2 linked regions of the Caenorhabditis elegans genome follow. The protein of the gene in region 2 interacts with the protein of the main gene of each other region in a pairwise test. Each region holds a gene or a part of one and is shown on either strand. Other genes may lie near its edges. The genes, in order: hda-4 and mef-2.

Region 1 (7,989 bases), on a different chromosome or scaffold from region 2:
GAAAAAGTGCGGCTAGATATATATAACATTTATATCAAATAGACAAAGTTTTCAACTTAGAAAAAAAGGTATACAAAATGGGTGACCCCGCCGGATGGCTCCAAGACTTGCAATAGATATTCGGCTTATTTTCTGAAAAAAATGGACTTTTGAAATGATGAGGCTCAAAAAAGCGATCAGAAAAGGAGAAAGTGATATGTTTTGTGAAAGAATGTGCAAAAATCGTATTTTTAAATTGGAAAGCTGAAGCTTCAAAAAATCAATAAATGAGCAGTAGCTGAAAAAATATGTTTGCTCTTTACGAAAACAAGAACGTGTGTTCCAGTTTGGCCAAGTGTGATAGTCAAGTATTTTATGCATTTTGCATGCGAGCTCCTTTCCCCGTATTTCAATTCAGCATTTCCTGTTATTTCTGCACCGTATTTACCAACAAGCCTTTTGGCTCCACATCATAGGCACACACACACACACAAAAGCGGAAAAAACAGTGTGCTGTGTCTCGGACTGTCCGATAAAAATCGATACCATCCATATACACACACACACACACAAAACGTTGTGTGGATCTCGTCATAAATATTAGAAAAAACGGTGAATACAGATGGAAGTGGAGAAAGAGAGAGAGTGAGAACCAAGGCAAACACAAAATCGACGCAAAAACTGCGCGCACACTATTTTTAGGAGGCGCGAGTTTCTCCTCGTACCGTCCGCTCAGGAAGTGATGTAGAATAAGGAGATGAACTTTTCCGAGTGAAAAGCAAATTTTGAAAATGTACAGTCTGATCAAAAAAAAACTTGGCGCTTTCTCGTCTTTGAGAGCATCTGAGATCACTGTTTTATTTAAATAAACATAGTTCAGAAACGTGAGAGATGGTGCATTTGCAATTTACAACTACGGAAATTTAGAGATTTGCATAATGACAATGCTTTTTGTTCATCTTTTAAAAAAATATGTTACGGTGTCTAAATATTATAACGTTTTTTTTTACGAATGAAATGAGCTGAGGCATTTCGACTCTATTTCAGGGCAGATTTTAATTTCAGGTGCGATGCATTGTGCCAACTGAAGTGCACTATCTAAAAACGTGAACTTTTTGAATATAAAAGAGAAGGTATGAAAATCAACGTTGAAGCTCAAAAATAAAAATGAGCTAAATGTGTTGTCTAATTGTTAAATATTGATAGGCTTATTAAAAGTTAAACTTTAACTTCCTGTTTGAATTTTTCAAGGATGACCGTGAAGTGTGAGCTATACTATTACAAAAAACAAATTAGGTACAATTGATCAGTTTACACAAACGGTGCATTTTTCTTCAGTGTATTTAAAAAAGCCCAAAAAAACAAAACTTGCCACGAACAAACTGAAAAGTGACAAACACTCTACCAAAATGGAAACAAAAATCTCTTATCTTTGAATCTTGCCTTGTTCCTATTTTGGGGCAATGTGGTTTTTTGTGTTATCAACAAGTTGAGAAGAGCAAAACGAAAAAGAGAGAGAGAGAGAAAGAGAAGGAGGACAGGAAAAAGACGTGCATGGGTAACTAACATCTAGTATCTTTAATATCTATGAATAGATTTTCAATGGGAGCACGGCAAAAACACGAGCAATCCCCCACGACGATGACACTACGACGATGCACAGAGATAAAGGAAGATAGAGAGAGAGTTGGAAACACACAACATTTATATGTAGTGTAGAAGTCGAGGGATATCAGCTTTGTGTTTTGGAGTGTGAGAATGAGAAGAAGTAAGAAAAAAATTGGGAGCGGAAAGAAGAAAAAAAAAGTAGAAAGTAGTGGGGCGAAAAGCATGTGCTTTTTTTGCCGCTACTTGATGTCTCAAAATCGCTTCCTCTATCACATGAGGTCGATCATGTTTTGACGAGGCGAGAAAAATGAGTGTCACCACTGCTAAATGAGGTCAGAAGTACTTGGATTACTTGTCGCCAAAAGATCTTGTTTTTTGTTCGATGCACTTTTATCGAGAAACAAAAATATAAACGAGGTGCTGGAAAACAAGGAAACTAGAGTCAAGTCAGTGTATAGATGTAACTTTTTTGTAAATAGATAAATTCTGAGAGAGCCGGGGGAAGAAGTAAAGAAAAAATATTATAGTTTACTCTTCAATGTAATCCATAAAAAGTCTATAGTCAAGTTCAATCGACAGGCAAATTTATAAGGTTAGTATTGCTAGAAGAGACTTAAAATAGTCCTTAACGACATTTGTAAATTTTTTCAAAAATAAAATTCGTTTACAAAATTGTGGAAATTTCCTAAATTGTTGAAAACATTTCAGAATTCCTTCGTTATTGTGAAGTTTTTCAATGAAAAACTGCACCAAAATAACTTGTTCTATCTCTACGAGTTATCAAGTTCATTAGATAAATGATATCTAGACACCGGGTTTCACAACAAAAAAAAACTAATTAGGCGAGTCTAGTCTACTTGATCAAAAACCTGTCAAGTTGAGTTTGAACGATCAAATTTGGAAATTTGATTAGTCATAGTATGTAGATACATAGTATCTTTCAAAATTGAATCAGATTAAATTAATACGTAGTTTTACGTTTTGGTGAGCTACTGGGCAGGGGTGTTAGGTACAGGAAGAATACTAAAAAAACTATTACTGGAGAAATTTACTGAGATTTTACTTAACTTCGGGATAAAGGCATATAATACACAAGTACCGTTTAATGATACTTAACAAGGAAGATACTGAAGGCAAAATTCGAAAAAATAATCTATTTTCGAGTATTAAATAGCTAGCTAGAAAAAAAAATCCAGCGCGGGACTCGTGTTTTTCAGCGTTTTATATAAATGAAGAGATCTTTCTCAGAGTCCCAGTTCACTTGGAATTCACCGGCTCTGCGCAACACGGAAAGAATTCTTCGGAAATTGGTCTCGCCGTCTCGTGAACTGATCTCTGAAATGGCAATAAGGCTGCTTGAAGGTGCGTAGAAGATGATGAATTTTTGAAATTCTAGAACCAAGAAGGGGGCTAGACAGGAATTTATTATGAAGTATTGAACGAGACATTGAACTACAAAGTATTTCAAAATATAGGAAAATTGTGACACTACGTTAGTATAAAGTACAAAACATTCTTTTTTTAAAAACTGTGAACTTACATGAAAAAAATTAATCAATATTGTTTACTTTGTGCAGAATATGAAAATTCTAAGATCTGAGCCCCCAAGTTCAGTGAAAATTTTCCGTCAAGAAAAGTGCTATTTTATCTACTGGTTAGGCATTTTTTTAAATTCAAAAATAGTGAAATATTTCGTGTATTCAATTTTCATTCAACATCTATATTAAAAAAGAGATTTGAGCATTTTTTCAAGTTGTTTCCTTGAAACGATCTAAAATTCGACAAACTCAAAGAGGTGTCCTTCTGAAAAAAAATTTCCAAGAAACATGGGAAAACAGGAGACAAAAATAGAAAAAAGGCAGAATAGTAGAGAATGTAACTATTTTCAAGCTCTTGCTTTTCCTTCCCCTTCTCTTCCATTTTTTTCTTTTTTCTCTCTCCTTTCATCATGATGTACCCCTCTTCTCATCGATAAACACCGACAAACAACATCGTCAGGTTTTCCAGGCTTCTATTTTCGACACATCCGGAAATAACCTCTTCTCCTATCTTTCATTTCGCCCGTTTTTAGAGAGAAAAAAAGGCATGAGAGAGAGAGAGAGAGAGTGGGTGTGTCATTGGACTATTTCTAGCTGAAAATACACTCATCTGATGGGAATGTATTTTGGAACGATACGTAATACTTGAGCTATGATGCTATGTAGAACATACAAAGCTAACGGTAAAGTCAATTGGGATTTTCTTTTAGATTTAAGAAAATGGGCCATAATGACCTAATATATTTTTTAAAGTTTTTGATTCCAATTTTGCAAAAAATTATTTGAATGAATTAACTAGTTTAAAATTCCTAGCGCAAATCAGGCATTTTCCGGTAATATTTAGTTGTTTTTTTTTTGCAATATTGTTTGCCAAATTTTCAGCTGTTTTACTGTGAACTAAACATACTAACTCTAAGTTCGAGTTTTATTTTATTCTGTTCAAAATTGCAAAAAAAAATCATCAAAAAATCTAGAAAATTCGCATTCATTTTATTACAAATTTTTTTTCAGTTTTTAAAGATGATAACGGTTTAATTGGATGTAGATTTCTTTTTATTTTCCTTTTATTTTTTGAAAAAAAAAACAATTCGGTCATATTAGCCAAGGTTTTTTAAAAAATATTTTCAACTATTTAGAGACTTAATAACAAAGTTTATCAAGTTCTTCACAACTTTTTTAATCAAAAACTAGCCAATCAATTTCTGATTTTTTTTAATTTTCAAAAAACATTTATAGAATTTATGGTGAATCTACAAAAAATGAATCTTAAAAATAAAGACTGTGATGCTAAATAAAAATAACAAACTTTTGCCAAAAATTGACTGATGCTAGAAGTTAGATCCAGATTAGAAAGTTATACAATAAAAAAAATAGACTCACCTGAAGCTGTGATTGAAGAAGAGCAATACTTTCCGGCTCAAGATTCGTCTGTCCTATGGCAGCTTCTGATGTTGATGGCAAGTTGGGAACACTTGGTCCAGCCCCACCAGCGCTCCCCGTTGAGGAGCTGGCTTCTTCCATACGCCTGCAAAAATGGAAACAATATTAAAAATGATCCGAGTTATAGATGATGCCAGAATATAATTATGAAAATAAATTGGCATATACTCTAGTTTGAAAATTTATGTTCGAAGGTTCAATACACTTATATTAAAAATAAATGTATGTTAAGTTATTAAAAAATTAAAATGTTTGAAGGAGAGATGTTGCAATATTTATTATGTATAACAATTTTCAAAAAAAGCCCTTTCAAAACATGATAGGTGTGAAAGTAGAAACTAAGAATTTGCGGCATTGTGTAAAGGAAGCTCCGGTTTCAAGAAGAAATGATATAATAACAGCTGGTATCATTTATTGATAGCCTCGTAGCCTCTGTGTTTGTATATTTTTTACACATATGGAAGACTAGAACAGAGATAAAAATCTCAAAGACTGAAACAAGCCAAAATCAAAAAAAAAACAAAAAACAAAGAGTTTTGTGCAGAGCAAGGTGTGAAAAGAATGGGAGAAAAATGGTGTTAAAGCAAGTTTTCAAAACAATGCTACCTCGGAAGATGAAAAGACCACCCGCGACAGAGTTTAAAAATGAAAAGAGTCGTCGGAAAGGAGCAAAAGTCGGGGTCTCTTCAGCTTCTGTTACTTTTCTGGCTCATCACACAACTTATTTTTTCAACATTCTAGTGGGACACAGGAAACAAATCTTTTAAAAAATGGTTTTTTTTCAAAAAACCGTCAACAAATGATTGTTTTCTAAACATAAAAATCATTTTGAATACTTGCATAAATTTATTTAATTTGAATTGTTTTTGGAAAATGTCACTTTTTTCAGGTTTTTAGGGAATCGAATAAACTGGAAAGATGCACTGAAAATGTTCAGAATTATCCTTTGGCGCTAAATAAACATTTGAAATGTAATTTTTGGTTAAAAAAACTGAGCTCTAACAGTGAAAGCAAATTATATACTCCGTTAGATCAATTTGAACTTTTGGTTGTTGTACTTTCAGAAAATATGCACCGATTTACTCTAAATTTTGCTCGAAAATGTCCAATGATTTTACAAACCTTTGAACAGATCGTCTACCCCTTCCGAAATCAAATAACCGAAGCAAAAGTTTCCCCTCAAAACCTAATTGTTTATAAATTTCATATTCAATTACTTTTTGCAGAATATCTCATTTCACCACCGGAATGCGGAGGTGTTGAACGGACGCAGAAGCTCTCATCAGTAATTTATGACGAAGTACGTCATAGATGTACTCTAGCAAAACAAGAAAAAGGTAAAAATTGGAAACTAGCAACCACAATGCAAAATTCAACATCAGAAGTTGGAATGAGAATTGGGCTGCGGAAAAAAAAGTGGGGGAAAGACCAAAGAAAGGAGAAGATATAAAGAAACTTTTTGATGCTGACAGAGAAAGAGTCCGCATTATGTTAGCTATTCAATTCCAATTGGAGAAATGAGACACAGAATCCGCCGTGAAAAGAAACGATCAATTCTCGATTCTAGTTTTCAGAAACTGATTTGAAGAGAAGTAAAATATAATTTTTATCAACATTAAAATTATCAATTTCTAAAGATCAGAAACAAATCGGCACGACGAAAAGTTACTTGCAAAATGTATGGTTTATGATAAAACATTTGAAAAAAATCCTCAAAGGGTATATTTCGATTTGAACGTAATATTCTGATTTTGGATTGCGTTTTTTTTTTTGAGTTTAAAGAACGTTTCTCAAAATTGGTAGAAAAATGTGAAGTTTATAACTGAACTCTGATATTATTCTCTAACTAAGGCTACCAAATGTAATTTTTGGTGTAAAATACTATAATCTGAATAATCTTAATAAAATAATGACTTTGTACATCTAACTGATAAATCAAATTAAAAATGTTCGTATATTGGAAAAAGCAATGAAATTAAAAATATATATTGCTAAAAGTATTCAACCTTTTAAAACTATTATAATATGACAGAAAATGTTATTGTTTCAAATGAGTTTTTAACATTCTAAAAAAATTTCAACACAGTATTTTTCTCCCATTGAAAATTCCTATAAAATTATTAAACTCTTCTGCAAAAAATTACAGTGTTAAAGTAAATTCAAAAATAAAGTATATAAAATTATTGGCTCTTTTCAAAATATGGTTACAGTTCAGAATGAGTTTAACAAAATTTGAAGTCTACTGAAGTACATCAGTATTTATATTTTAACTTTTTGTTTTACACTAATGATAAAAATAAAATAAAAAAACGTAATTTAAAAAGTAGAGGTGATAACAAATTATATATTAAACGTTTTACAACAATAATGACCTTTACGGTAACGAGTAATTAAATCTCAAATTAACAGATGATAACCATCGCATCACTTTCAATAATGAAGCCAAGTTAAGAGTGAAGAGAGTGTCACAAGAGATATAGACTGAGGTAGCGTTGGTTGTGAGAGCGTCAGACATTTGGTCTGAGACGTCGAGACGCAGACACGACGGTGGGGCGCAATGGCTGATAGTGTGCGGGAGTGAAGAGAGCGGCGAGAACATTGGGGGGAGCCTTCTCGCTCACACACACACACACACACACAAACACTCACCAAATACTCACTCGCCGAGAAAGAGAAACACGGGGCGCCCCCCGATAGATGCACATAGAAGAGTGTCGGAGAATGAGAGACGCAGTCAGAGGGACAGGACGTACGATGAGACGAAAATAGACTAGAAGAAGGAGGAGAAGGGGCACACATACACATACACACGCCATCAACAATCCAGACCACCCCAAACATTTGAGAGATCTACATAAATACATATCAATTAAGATTGCAAATTTCGGTGTTGGAAAATTCCAAAAATAACATGATAGTTTTTTTGTTCGACACGTGAGACAACACCACAATTTTCAAAAAAAAAACGGTAATTTCACAGTTATAATGATGAAATGATAATATCAGTAAAATCCTATGTGGACGTGTTTATAACTAAAACCTGCAATAAATGCAGTTCAAATTAGTTATTTTTCAACGACGAATCTTTTTGAAAGAACATTTTTAGATTTGTGTAGTAGCGTCAAATTGATCTTTTTATACAATAAACAAAGTGGCCCCAACGGACCAAATGTTAAAATGTTCATTAAAAATGGACCTTAATGAAACTGTAAAAAACAACAAGGTTTTTGCAAAAATGTCTTTAAAGGTGGAGTGGCGCCAATTGGGATTTGGTCCAAACACATTTATAATGATCCAAAACGACTAAATATCATAATAAAACACTCCAAAAAAATTCAGATTTTTTATAATTTCCGGTCAAAGTTTTGGCAAAGTTTGGGAAAATGTGAGTTTCTGAGGAAACCCAAAGCAATGTCGCATGTTC
Region 2 (10,475 bases):
TGTCTTGTTTAAGTTTTATAGAAATTATTGAATTTAACTGATTAGTTAGTACAAGATCAATTTTTGGTTTCACCTGGTAAATCTTTAATCCTTTGTAAACTTTGTGTATTATTTCTATCATTGACCCATTTTCTATCTTTTCAACAAAAAAATCCCGATTGACAACATTTAAGATTTAATAGGACTTTCTAGATCACTTTTCTAGATCACTAGCGAATATCCATTTTTTGCACAATTTAATTTTTCTTGAATGTTTCTTCAAGATCGTTTAAGTTCAGATATTTTGAGTTCATATTTTCCCTCAAATAAGTTTTTTCAGAGAGCAAGCAACTTCCTCAATAGACGCCTTCCTCCCCGTAAGCTCAAAAGCATGAGGAGCAATTTCTCAAAGCTTTTGGCTCAAAAGAGAGAGAGAGAGCAACATACTGCTGCTGCTGCTCACCGAGCACCCCGAGAGCCACAGCTTCAAAAGAGCCGAGAAAAAAAAAGAGAGAGAATATGTCAGTCAAAAGGGCGTGGTCTATCTCTCTCTCTCTCTCTCTCTTCCTCATTTTTCTCTCTTTTTTCTTTTTCTGCTTTTCTTCGCTTTTTTTTCGCTGTCCTTCCTCCTTTCTTTGTGTGTCATTTTCAGCCATTTTTTGTTGTTATTTCGGGTTCCGTGAGATCCCGACATAGCACTCGATGACGTCATTAAATTCTGAAATTCTCCGGATACCTAAACCATAACATTCCCGGAAATTAAATTTTTGAGTGGCGGGGAGGAAACGATTGGTTTTTAACGCCTACACGAACTCTTCGAGCCAGACATTCTTTTAACTTCAATCATTCTTTATGAGCCTTTCTAGAAGTACCTATAATCACTAGTTGATAAAAAATATTGAAATTGCTGAGAATAAACCTAGAGTTACCAAAAATTGAATGTAGAAGTTTAAAATATTTAGTACTAAATTTCATCGCTGGTGCTATTTTTGCAAGTACGCAAAAATACTTCATAAATATGTTAAAAACAGCTAAACATAATAGTGGAAACGAATGTGCCTGCCTGCCTGCTGCCTATTCGTCTGAGTGTTGTAATCTGAATTTGTTCTAAGTTGTCACTTTAAAATCTGAAAAAGTACAACATTTTTTAACGTTTATTCCGGAAGTAGGCAGGCATGTAGGCACGATACAGCCTCCTTGCTTGAGTTGATGACAACCAACAAAATCTGTATAATGCTAAAGAAGACTCCGAAAACTTCTCAATTGCCAAAAGTCTTCACTTCCGTCTCACAATGACGTGGATTCCCATATGATTTCCATGCTAATCCAATCCAGCAGTTTATATATCTTTAATCTCTTTTCAGAAATTTCCTATTTTAAGCTCACATTCAAACTTTCAGGTGAAATTTAAAATTCTGAGATATACTCAGGTCAAGATATTTTTTTCAACCAAAATTTATCCTCAGTTTTCTTTGATTTTTTGACATGGACATTTTCGAGATATCCGAGATTTCTCAAATGTAACCGAATATCTTCTTTCTCTTTTTTTCTAAATTTCTCTGTGTTTCTTTTATTTTCTCATTCTTCTCATCTCAAGCAAAAAATCGGTATTTCATTTGACTTTTATTGATTGATAATATATATGATTAGACACGGAAGAAGAGAAAATTAATGCCTAAAAAATGTATCTTCATCTCTTCAACTTATTCACTATCTCATCATTTGGGGGGTCATTTCATATCACATCTGAAGCTCCGCCCACTTTTTGTTTTTCACCTATTCGTCTCATTTTTGGACTAATCAACGCCTCACAATGTGGCAAATTTTTGAATAATTTTCAATGTTTTGTGGAATAAAAAATAATTACCAAAATATAAACCCCGATTTAAAGATTAAGTCTAACATGAATCTAAAATTTCGTAAATAAATTTCAATATTTCATTCAAAATCTAAATGTCTACGTCATCAATGTTCGTTCCGATTTTATAGTTTTATTGGCGTTGCTTTTTTGAGTCAACGCATTGCGTATTTATGTCCAAAAATTTTGTGCTCAACCATTTTGGAAAATTTTGCAAAGTTCCCCTCCGGGATCAACGTCAATCAGAAGTTGCTCTCGCAGCTCCAAAACCAAGAAAAAATTGTCGCTAATCTTTTTGGTGTAATGCATTTTTCTCCTCTTTTTTCTATCATCTTTTCAATTTTTCAAAAGACCGTTTGAAGTTTTTGAACCAAAAGTTCAGTAGGCCGAGTTAGGCTTTTCAGCTCTCCATCCGCCGGGGCGTGGAAAGAGGCGGTTGGGAGGCCCCACATTACACCTCGTGGACTATTTTGAAGTTCATAAAGGAAAAGTTTCTAAAGAAGTTTTCGAACAAAATAATACATGAATTTTCTACAATTTTTCACAAAAATCTAGGAAAATAAAACAAAAGAATATGATTCAATCAATGATATTTTTTTCTTGTCATTTCATCCTCTTTCTCTCAAACTCTTTTCCACAACATTTTTCCCGATTTTTTCAACTAGCAAATCATGTGTCTTCTCAATCTTTCCCTCTTCATTTTTTTGTCACTTCTGAAAATGAGAAAACTGCGGGCAAGAAAACTGAAAATTTGATTAAAATTGAAGATAATAAGTTTTTTGGTGTTTAGGAGAAATTTTGAGAAATTAGTGAATAAATTGTGAAAGGTTTGTGTGACATGACCACTATCAAAAGATTTAATCTTTTCTCGATTGACAAGTTACTGTAGGTTTCTGCTAATGGGTCATGGGGTACTTATATGGTGTTAAGTAATCATTGGCAGGTAGTCCCTGTTGGATCTCCTGAAACCGTGGATAAGCGTAGTTTTGAGAAAGTCTAGAAAAAGTCTGAATCCGTTCTCCAAAGCGTTACAGTGCGAGATTTGCCGTCATAGTGTTCACACCTCACCTACCGTTTTCCTTTTTCTAAGGCGTATATTTTCCGTGAAGGCAAGAAGGCAGGCTCGTGTAATTCGTACCTTCGGAACTGCCTAACTTTGACTGCTGCATAAGTTTTGACTGCGTAAGGAAAATCATGTTTTGATTTCATCGGTATGATCTCACAATAATTACCTAGAATACACTCTTCGTATTTCCAACGTTGCTTTTAATAAGTAATATGAATACTCTTACTTAAACAAAACCGAATATGAATGTGTTGTCAACAGAGGATTTTGCAAGAGATTTGAATGTCATGTGGCATTAATATAGATTATGAAAAATCATGGTAACCTCCAGAGATTCTATTGGTAATAAATGAGCCACAAGTCTGAAGTATTGGTAGTTATCGATTAATGTGGTTTAACATCAGAAAATTGTGATTCTTCTGGCGGGGTCAGTCGAGAGAAACTGATTCAAAGAGAATCCACAAAAAGATTTGTGGAATTTCAAAAGTTGCAAAATCTTAAAATAATATTTGATGTCGTACTATAACTTGGTAATAAACTAAAACACGGAAAATTCTTCTTATCAGAACTGTGAATTGATCTAGTTTCGACCTCTTATCATCATCTTTTCGTATTCCATCTAATTCTCTCTTCTTCCCTAAAGCCCCGCCTCCTTTTCCGGGGAGAGTAATGGGCGGAGCTAGTTGTCTCCACGAATATTTGGTCATTTTCTGTTCTCAATTTATTTTTTTGGTCTCTCTTCATGATAATCAAAAATGTAACATTATTCATCAATTCATCTTGAAACTTCTGGATTCGTCTGTGTCTCTCTGACTCAATCTCTATCTCAATTTTCTATTTGTTTTTGATGATCATCAGTGGTCACGGGTACTCTCTCTCTCCCTTTTTCATTTATTTTTTCACATTTTCTCGCCATCTCATCGTCTGCGTCTCAATTTTTCTCAATCTTTAACTCTGTTTCTCGATTCATAACACCTCTCTTTTCGTTTCTCCATGCAGTTTTCTGTGTTCTGGTTTCACCCGCAATTTTTTCTCATTATATGGATCTGAAAATCTGTTTTTTTCTGAAATTAAAATTTATTTTATTAAGGTTCTCCCCGCTTGCAAAAATTCAAGGTTCGAGTAATCGTTACGTGAAGACGGCGATGGGTCGCAAGAAAATTCAAATCACCAGGATACAAGATGAGAGAAATCGACAGGTTGGTTTTTTTGCTTTTTTTTTGTTGAAAAAAAAAATTAAAAATTTGTTAGTTTAAATTTTTTTTTTACAATACGTTTGCTAAAAACAAGTGACTTTCTTTTTTTGCTATCAAAATTTGCTTCAGCAGATTTCGAAGTTTTATAAAATTTGACAATTTTTTTGGCTTCTAGTGAACAAAATTTTTAGGCAATAGCAAGCTTTACAATAATTTAATTTTTATCAAAAAATTGTCAGAACATTTATGAACATTTTCTTTTTCTGAAAGAAAAATAAACAACAAATTGAGATAATCTTTATTCCGTCGTCTGATCCTAGTATATTCATTTTAAATCTCATGATACCTGGAAATTAGTATTTGTTTTTTATGACCCTTTTTCTTCTAGAACTTAATTTTCAACAAATTTAGAAATTCATAGGTTCTTTTGAAATTATAAAATTATTTAATGAATGTCATCTGCTGAAAAATCTATAATTCTACAATAAATCCTTTTTTGTGGTAAATTCAAAACTTTGAAAAATAATTCGAAAAACATCAAGGTACTTTCTTGACAAATTAACATGTTTTTGCCTTTCGTTTTCTCAAAAACTTGAAAATCTTTTAGTCATTTGTCAAAAAATCGTTCATTTCTCTCACCAATCTTGTGATTGTCACGTGGAAAACTGTGAGAAGTGGAGAATTCCTTTCGTTGAGGAATAAGATTAATGATTATTGCGGTATGGAGTAGGTGGTCGTGGTGTGTTGTGTGATGATCTAAAGTACAGTAATCTACAGTAATTTTCAATTTGGAAATTTAAGTTGGAATATTGCCAGATGTGCTAAAATTGCAGTAGTATCATATTAAAACTTTTGCGAACATTTTTTAAATTTCATCGATAGATTTTGCAAGCCAGCCAAAAAATGCTATGACTTTTATATTTTAGTTTTTTGATAATTTGCACATTGTAGGTATACGAACCTGCCCAAATTACTCAAATCCAGATTTTCTGAAATTTCGGTAATTTGCCAAAAGTTTTAGAGGGTTTAATTAATTCGAAGTAGATTTTTGACCCATTTTTCATCGCATAAAATATGAGTTTTAGGAAATTTGACTTTGAAATATCGAAATAATGATTAATGTTAACAATAGACTATAATGTTAATAAGATGTGTTCATACTCCAATCATTTTCCGGTTACAATAATATTCCCTAAGTGTTTTTTTCGAGAGCTCTAGGATTTATTGAATTTTTTAAATCTTTCAATTTTTTCGCCAACTTTTCTATTGTCGGAAAATGAGTTTAACATGCATGTTGCTGCAAAATGTTAATTTTTCAAGCTCCAGCTGTCTTAAACCTCGAAGGTTAGATCTTCAAAAACTTGGTTAATTGTTGATTGAGTTGTGCAAGAAAATTTCTGAAAATTTTTAACTTGCCTGTTGCTCACTGAATTTAAGTTCCGTATAAGTGACTTAACTTTTCCAATCATTCTAGGACATTTCCATGTTGAAAAGGTCACCATTTCCTTTCTCATTTTTTTCATAAAGGAATCTGAAGCATAAAAGTCCTTGTGCTCTTTTTTTTTCTCCACCCGCCTCCTCTTTCTTCGCCTTCTTCTTCTTTTCATGCTCTTCAGATGACGTCATCAACGCGTCGTCGCCATCTATCTCTCTCTCCACCTCTCACACAATCTCTCGTCTCTGACGACATCGAGCCAAGAGAGCCAGAGAGCACATAGAATCGAGAGATTTCAGATTGAAAAGAGAGGAAAAAACAAGTTTGTTTCTCTATCTCTGTCACTCTCTCTTCTTGATGATAGGAGAGCCTGAAAAAGCAGGCAAAGCGAAACGAAAAAAGGAGGGGGCGACTATTTTTAGAATCGATACAGCACCAAAATAGAATAATGACGACGGAATTGGAAACTGATGAACTGAAATAAAAGACATTAGAGAGAATTAAAGAAAAATATGAAAACAGCTGGAACTCCTTAATTAATTAATGCTGCTGCTCAAAATAAGCGTGGGTGGAGAATAACAAATGAGCTGGGTCCTAATTAGATTTTATTAGAAAAAAATAGAAAAATTCATTAGCAAAATTAGAAATAAATTTGCAGGCCTATTTAGGGAAAGATGAACACGTGTTTTTGGTTCTATTGGGTTTTCTCCAGAAAACTCAGTGTGCTTTTGCTAATTTTGAGGTTAGGAGCAAACATTGACCAATCAGGGAACACCGGGTGGGTGTGGCCATGATTGCTGATTGGTCAAGACAACACTTTTTTTTTAGAAATGACCGACATATCATTATTATTAAAAAGAATCAATTTGAGAAATCCTTTTTAGAAAAGAAAAACATTCAAAAAAAGCAAATGAAAATATGCAAATTTCTATGTTAATATTTCAGGTGACATTCACCAAACGAAAGTTTGGATTGATGAAGAAAGCCTACGAATTATCGGTTCTCTGTGATTGTGAGATTGCACTCATCGTCTTCAACTCAACTAACAAACTATTTCAGTAAGTTTTAATTGAATTGGGATGCTAGATATTAAAATAATAACAATTTCAGATATGCCTCAACTGACATGGATAAGGTATTGTTGAAATACACTGAATACAATGAACCTCATGAATCCCGTACTAATAATGACATCATGGAAGCCTTGAATCGAAAAGAAGGCAATCAGGGAGGCGGAAATTCGGATGATGAAAGCCCTGGACCATCAACATCACCTGTCATTCAAATAACAATGCCTGCTGTTGTTAATGGACATAGTTCTAATAATTCGGTGGCTTCTGCAGCTTCTGCTTCTGCTGCCGCTGTTGCAGCAGCAGCAGCCGCAGTTGCAGCAGTTGAGGGAACATCTTCGGGTGCGGCTGCTGCAGCGGCTGCACTACAAGCATCAAATGCTCAACGACATCATAATTTGAACTTGTACCAGAATTTGATATTTAATCCCAACTACACTCGCCATTTGAACCAAAGGTACGGTTTTTGAATATTTTGGTATATTTTTCATGTATTTATTTCCAGAAATGATCCTCTGTCCTCTACATCTGTTGCTCCTTCCTCATCCTCATCAAAACATCTCGATTTTCCTCCATCAACTTCATTTGCCTATGACACGTCACGCCTTCATCCAATTGCCGCTGCTGATGCTGATTGTGATCTTGTACCATCATCAAGAGCTGCAGCTGATCAAAATATTTGGTCATCTGCATTACAACAACGCCCTGTTTCACAGCCTGCACCTAGTAGTAAGTTTGTGGAAATTAATTTTTACAATATCAGGCTTAGGCTTAGAACCTATCAATTTCAATGCGCAAGTAATGAACAAAACTAATTTTTTGGCACAAATAGGAAATAGGGATTAGAAATAAATGGTGGATATAACAGAACGCATTTTAACCGATTCATAGTCGGCATCCTAAGTTCGAACGCCAGAAGAACATACTAGGCTTTACTAAAATTTTAAAATATCTCTTCGGAGTTTTTTTTTCAAGTGTTAGATGAATTTTTGGTAGAAAAACTGATAAAAGAAAATTTCGGCTACTTTTGGAAAAACTTCTAAGATCTCGTGCATAAACGGTTTCCCAAAAAAGAAGTTCAAGTAGTATATACTCATATATTCACAAGGTCATTTCTATTATTAAAACTTTGAATCTATTCCCGGCCATTGAAATTTTGGAAAATATGGGTTAGGTACAAATGCATCACAGAGTTCATCGAATCAATTGTGGTTTTAGAAAAATGGGAAGAATATATAAATTTAAATTCAAAAAATTATTATTTTCTATTTTACAGTAAGCAATTCATCAACAAACGGAATCTCAAACGGAACTTCATCACTCTTATCTCCAAATGTCAGCTCATTAAATGGTCATTCAGTATTAGATTTAGGTGGTCCAAATCTACCATATAAATTGGATCCAAATACATATGTCAAAATGGAACCACATTCACCACCTGAAAAACGTCCAAGAATTACAACAGAGTGGAGACCACAGCAATTGACTTGATAACTTCTTGTTAAATTTTTATTTTTAGCTGTCTGTCACTATTGTTTAATTAAGAGATGAGACGACGCTCCTTTTTGCAACTATTTGTAATTCATTCCGGAGTTCGCAGAATTTTACTATTTTGAAAATATTTTTGTGCAATTTCCGACCCAGAAATACGGTACGCGGTCTGCCCGTGTTCAAGGATTACTGTAGTCTCTCGCTCCACATGTTTTTCTCGTTTACTTGAATTTCCCCCATTTTCCTCACGTTTCGCCCTGTTGTCGAAGTGGAGTGCAACACTACAGTACTCTTTAAAGGTCTTCCCCGTGCATCTCATTTGGTATGCCGATCGTGTCGAGACCGTTTACCGTAATTTTGCATTAGAGCGTTGTTTTATTTCGAAATTTTTGTGATTCAAGACATAAAACTTCCTCTCCGACATTCCACGTATTGCTCCTCTTCTTTTTTTTTAAATTTATCTCTGCAAACGTGCTCAATTGTTAATTTTCGATGGAGCCCGTATGCATAAAGACAAAAATCCAAAAAATTTTGATATTTTCATGTTCTGAAGAAAAAAACATAAAATGCGGGTATTCTTCTCTCATTTTTTATTTGTTTTTATTTTTCCTATATTTATTTTATTTTTCATTCTTTCATTTTTGTCTCTCTCTCTTGTGATTTCTCCCTGTATTTTTCCCCCTAGTCTTCTCACTGATTCGGTAGTTTTTTCTCTCAAAAATGTTCCCATTTCGCCACCCCGGTCTAATTATTATAATTGATTATTTGTTCTTTAAAACAAATATGTATAAATAAATCGATTCATTGGAGAACAAATGCATCCATTTAAATGGAAAAAAATATGGTATCAGGAAAGCCGCATGGCCTAGATTCTTACAATTTCTAGGCCACTTGTGCATTTTCACGGCTGTGGAAAAACATCGGATGAAATGGATGGAAAACTAGAAACACGATTTGGGGGCTCGATTTGAAAATTAAAACATATTGAACAAAAATCACGGAGAGAAATGTGAGATATTTGATTGGGTCGGTTGAAGTTCCGAACATTAAATTAAAGCCAAATTAACTCAAAAAAAAAACAAAAGAATGAGATTAAGCAGTATGATTGGAAATCAATCAATTCTGACGATACTGCTGCTGCGGGTATTGTGGAGGATAATATGCAAATGCACCACCTGAAACTTTGAATATTGAAAATCTAATTTTTAAATAAAAATCTAAAATTAGTGGATTGTGTTTTTCAATTGTATTTAAAAGATTGCATACAGGATACTCAGCTTCATTTAACAAAAACATTACCGTCACAAAATTCTAGTTAAAGTTCATCGAATCAGCCGTATAATGCAGACAAATATAACTTACTAGACTAAAGCACAAGCAGGATTCTGTTAAAAATTGTAAATCGTGGATATGGGTAAAAGATGCACATAAATCAAATGAACTAGACGGCACAAAAAATACAATTCATGCATTAATTCCGTGAGCCACGTGGATTGCGCATAGTGACTCCTGAGTGATCGATCATCAGGTGTCCATTTACCAAAAGTCGAGATGCATTTGCTTGTATTTCAGCCATGGAAAGAATTCGTGGTGGTTGGATGTTATTGGTGTCACCTGAAAGTGAGGCCAAACCAAGTAAGGGAAATAAATATATATTTGCATGCAGGATGGTTGCAATTACACAACAAGTTTACTCGCTATTAACTGAAGATCGTGAAGTGATTGTTTTGATGTTTAAACATAATATACAAAAACTTTGTAAGGTGTACAAAAAATTACCGTTTGACATTTGCTGTTGAGCATAAAAAGACGGAGACATGATTTGTGGTGACTGCTGCTGCTGTTGTTGCTGCTGAAGATGGTGCTGCTGCATATGAACCATTTGATTGTTTCGCCCTATGAGCCCGTTTTGCATTTGGAAGTGTGGTGCCTGGTTTATCATTGGCTGAAAACGAGAGTTCAATTTTTAAAAAATTTTGAAAAATATTTGTTAAGTTTATAATTCCAGACGTAAAACTAGTGCATTTTTTTCAATTCGACAGAATTCTAGTGCAGTGGACAATCATCTAAGTATCTTATCCAATTAATAGGGGCTTGAACAAAGAAAAAAAAGAGATTAAAACAGGATTTTTTTGTTCTGTCGTTATGAAAAAATATCACTAGAGTATTAGTGCGTGTGGTAGACTATTAACACGTGCTGGCATACCGAATATCCGTATTGTGATGTAGGTGTTTGAGATCCTGAAGAGGGATTCATATAAGATGATTGAGCAAAATTCAATGGATGTGTCGTATGGTGAAGTTGAACAAGCGGAGATGATTGTGTTGATGAATTTGCTGACTGCTGCAACAAACAGACAGTTTAGTGAGTGTGGACAGG

Evidence for each region.
Region 1: the proteins of mef-2 (region 2) and hda-4 interact in a two-hybrid assay, tested with the Caenorhabditis elegans proteins (one study listed by BioGRID).

The regions. Positions count from the first base shown.
Region 1 is NC_003284.9:16,726,220-16,734,208, reverse strand, and holds the start of hda-4 (Histone deacetylase 4), read right to left. Parts: upstream 4,651-7,989; 5' UTR 4,647-4,650; coding exon 4,506-4,646; intron 3,642-4,505; exon of another isoform or gene 3,509-3,641; intron 1-3,508. UniProt on the Caenorhabditis elegans protein: Responsible for the deacetylation of lysine residues on the N-terminal part of the core histones (H2A, H2B, H3 and H4).
Region 2 is NC_003279.8:9,091,964-9,102,438, forward strand, and holds mef-2 (MEF2 transcription factor homolog), read left to right. Parts: upstream 1-3,993; 5' UTR 3,994-4,048; coding exon 4,049-4,102; intron 4,103-6,479; coding exon 6,480-6,592; intron 6,593-6,644; coding exon 6,645-7,061; exon of another isoform or gene 7,062-7,109; coding exon 7,110-7,333; intron 7,334-7,880; coding exon 7,881-8,095; 3' UTR 8,096-8,899; downstream 8,900-10,475. Other genes in the region: E3 SUMO-protein ligase gei-17, read right to left, coding at 9,212-9,270, 9,875-10,040, 10,302-10,439. UniProt on the Caenorhabditis elegans protein: Transcription regulator. Binds specifically to the MEF2 element, 5'-[TC]TA[AT][AT][AT][AT]TA[AG]-3' in the regulatory elements of target genes, such as chemoreceptors str-1 and srh-234.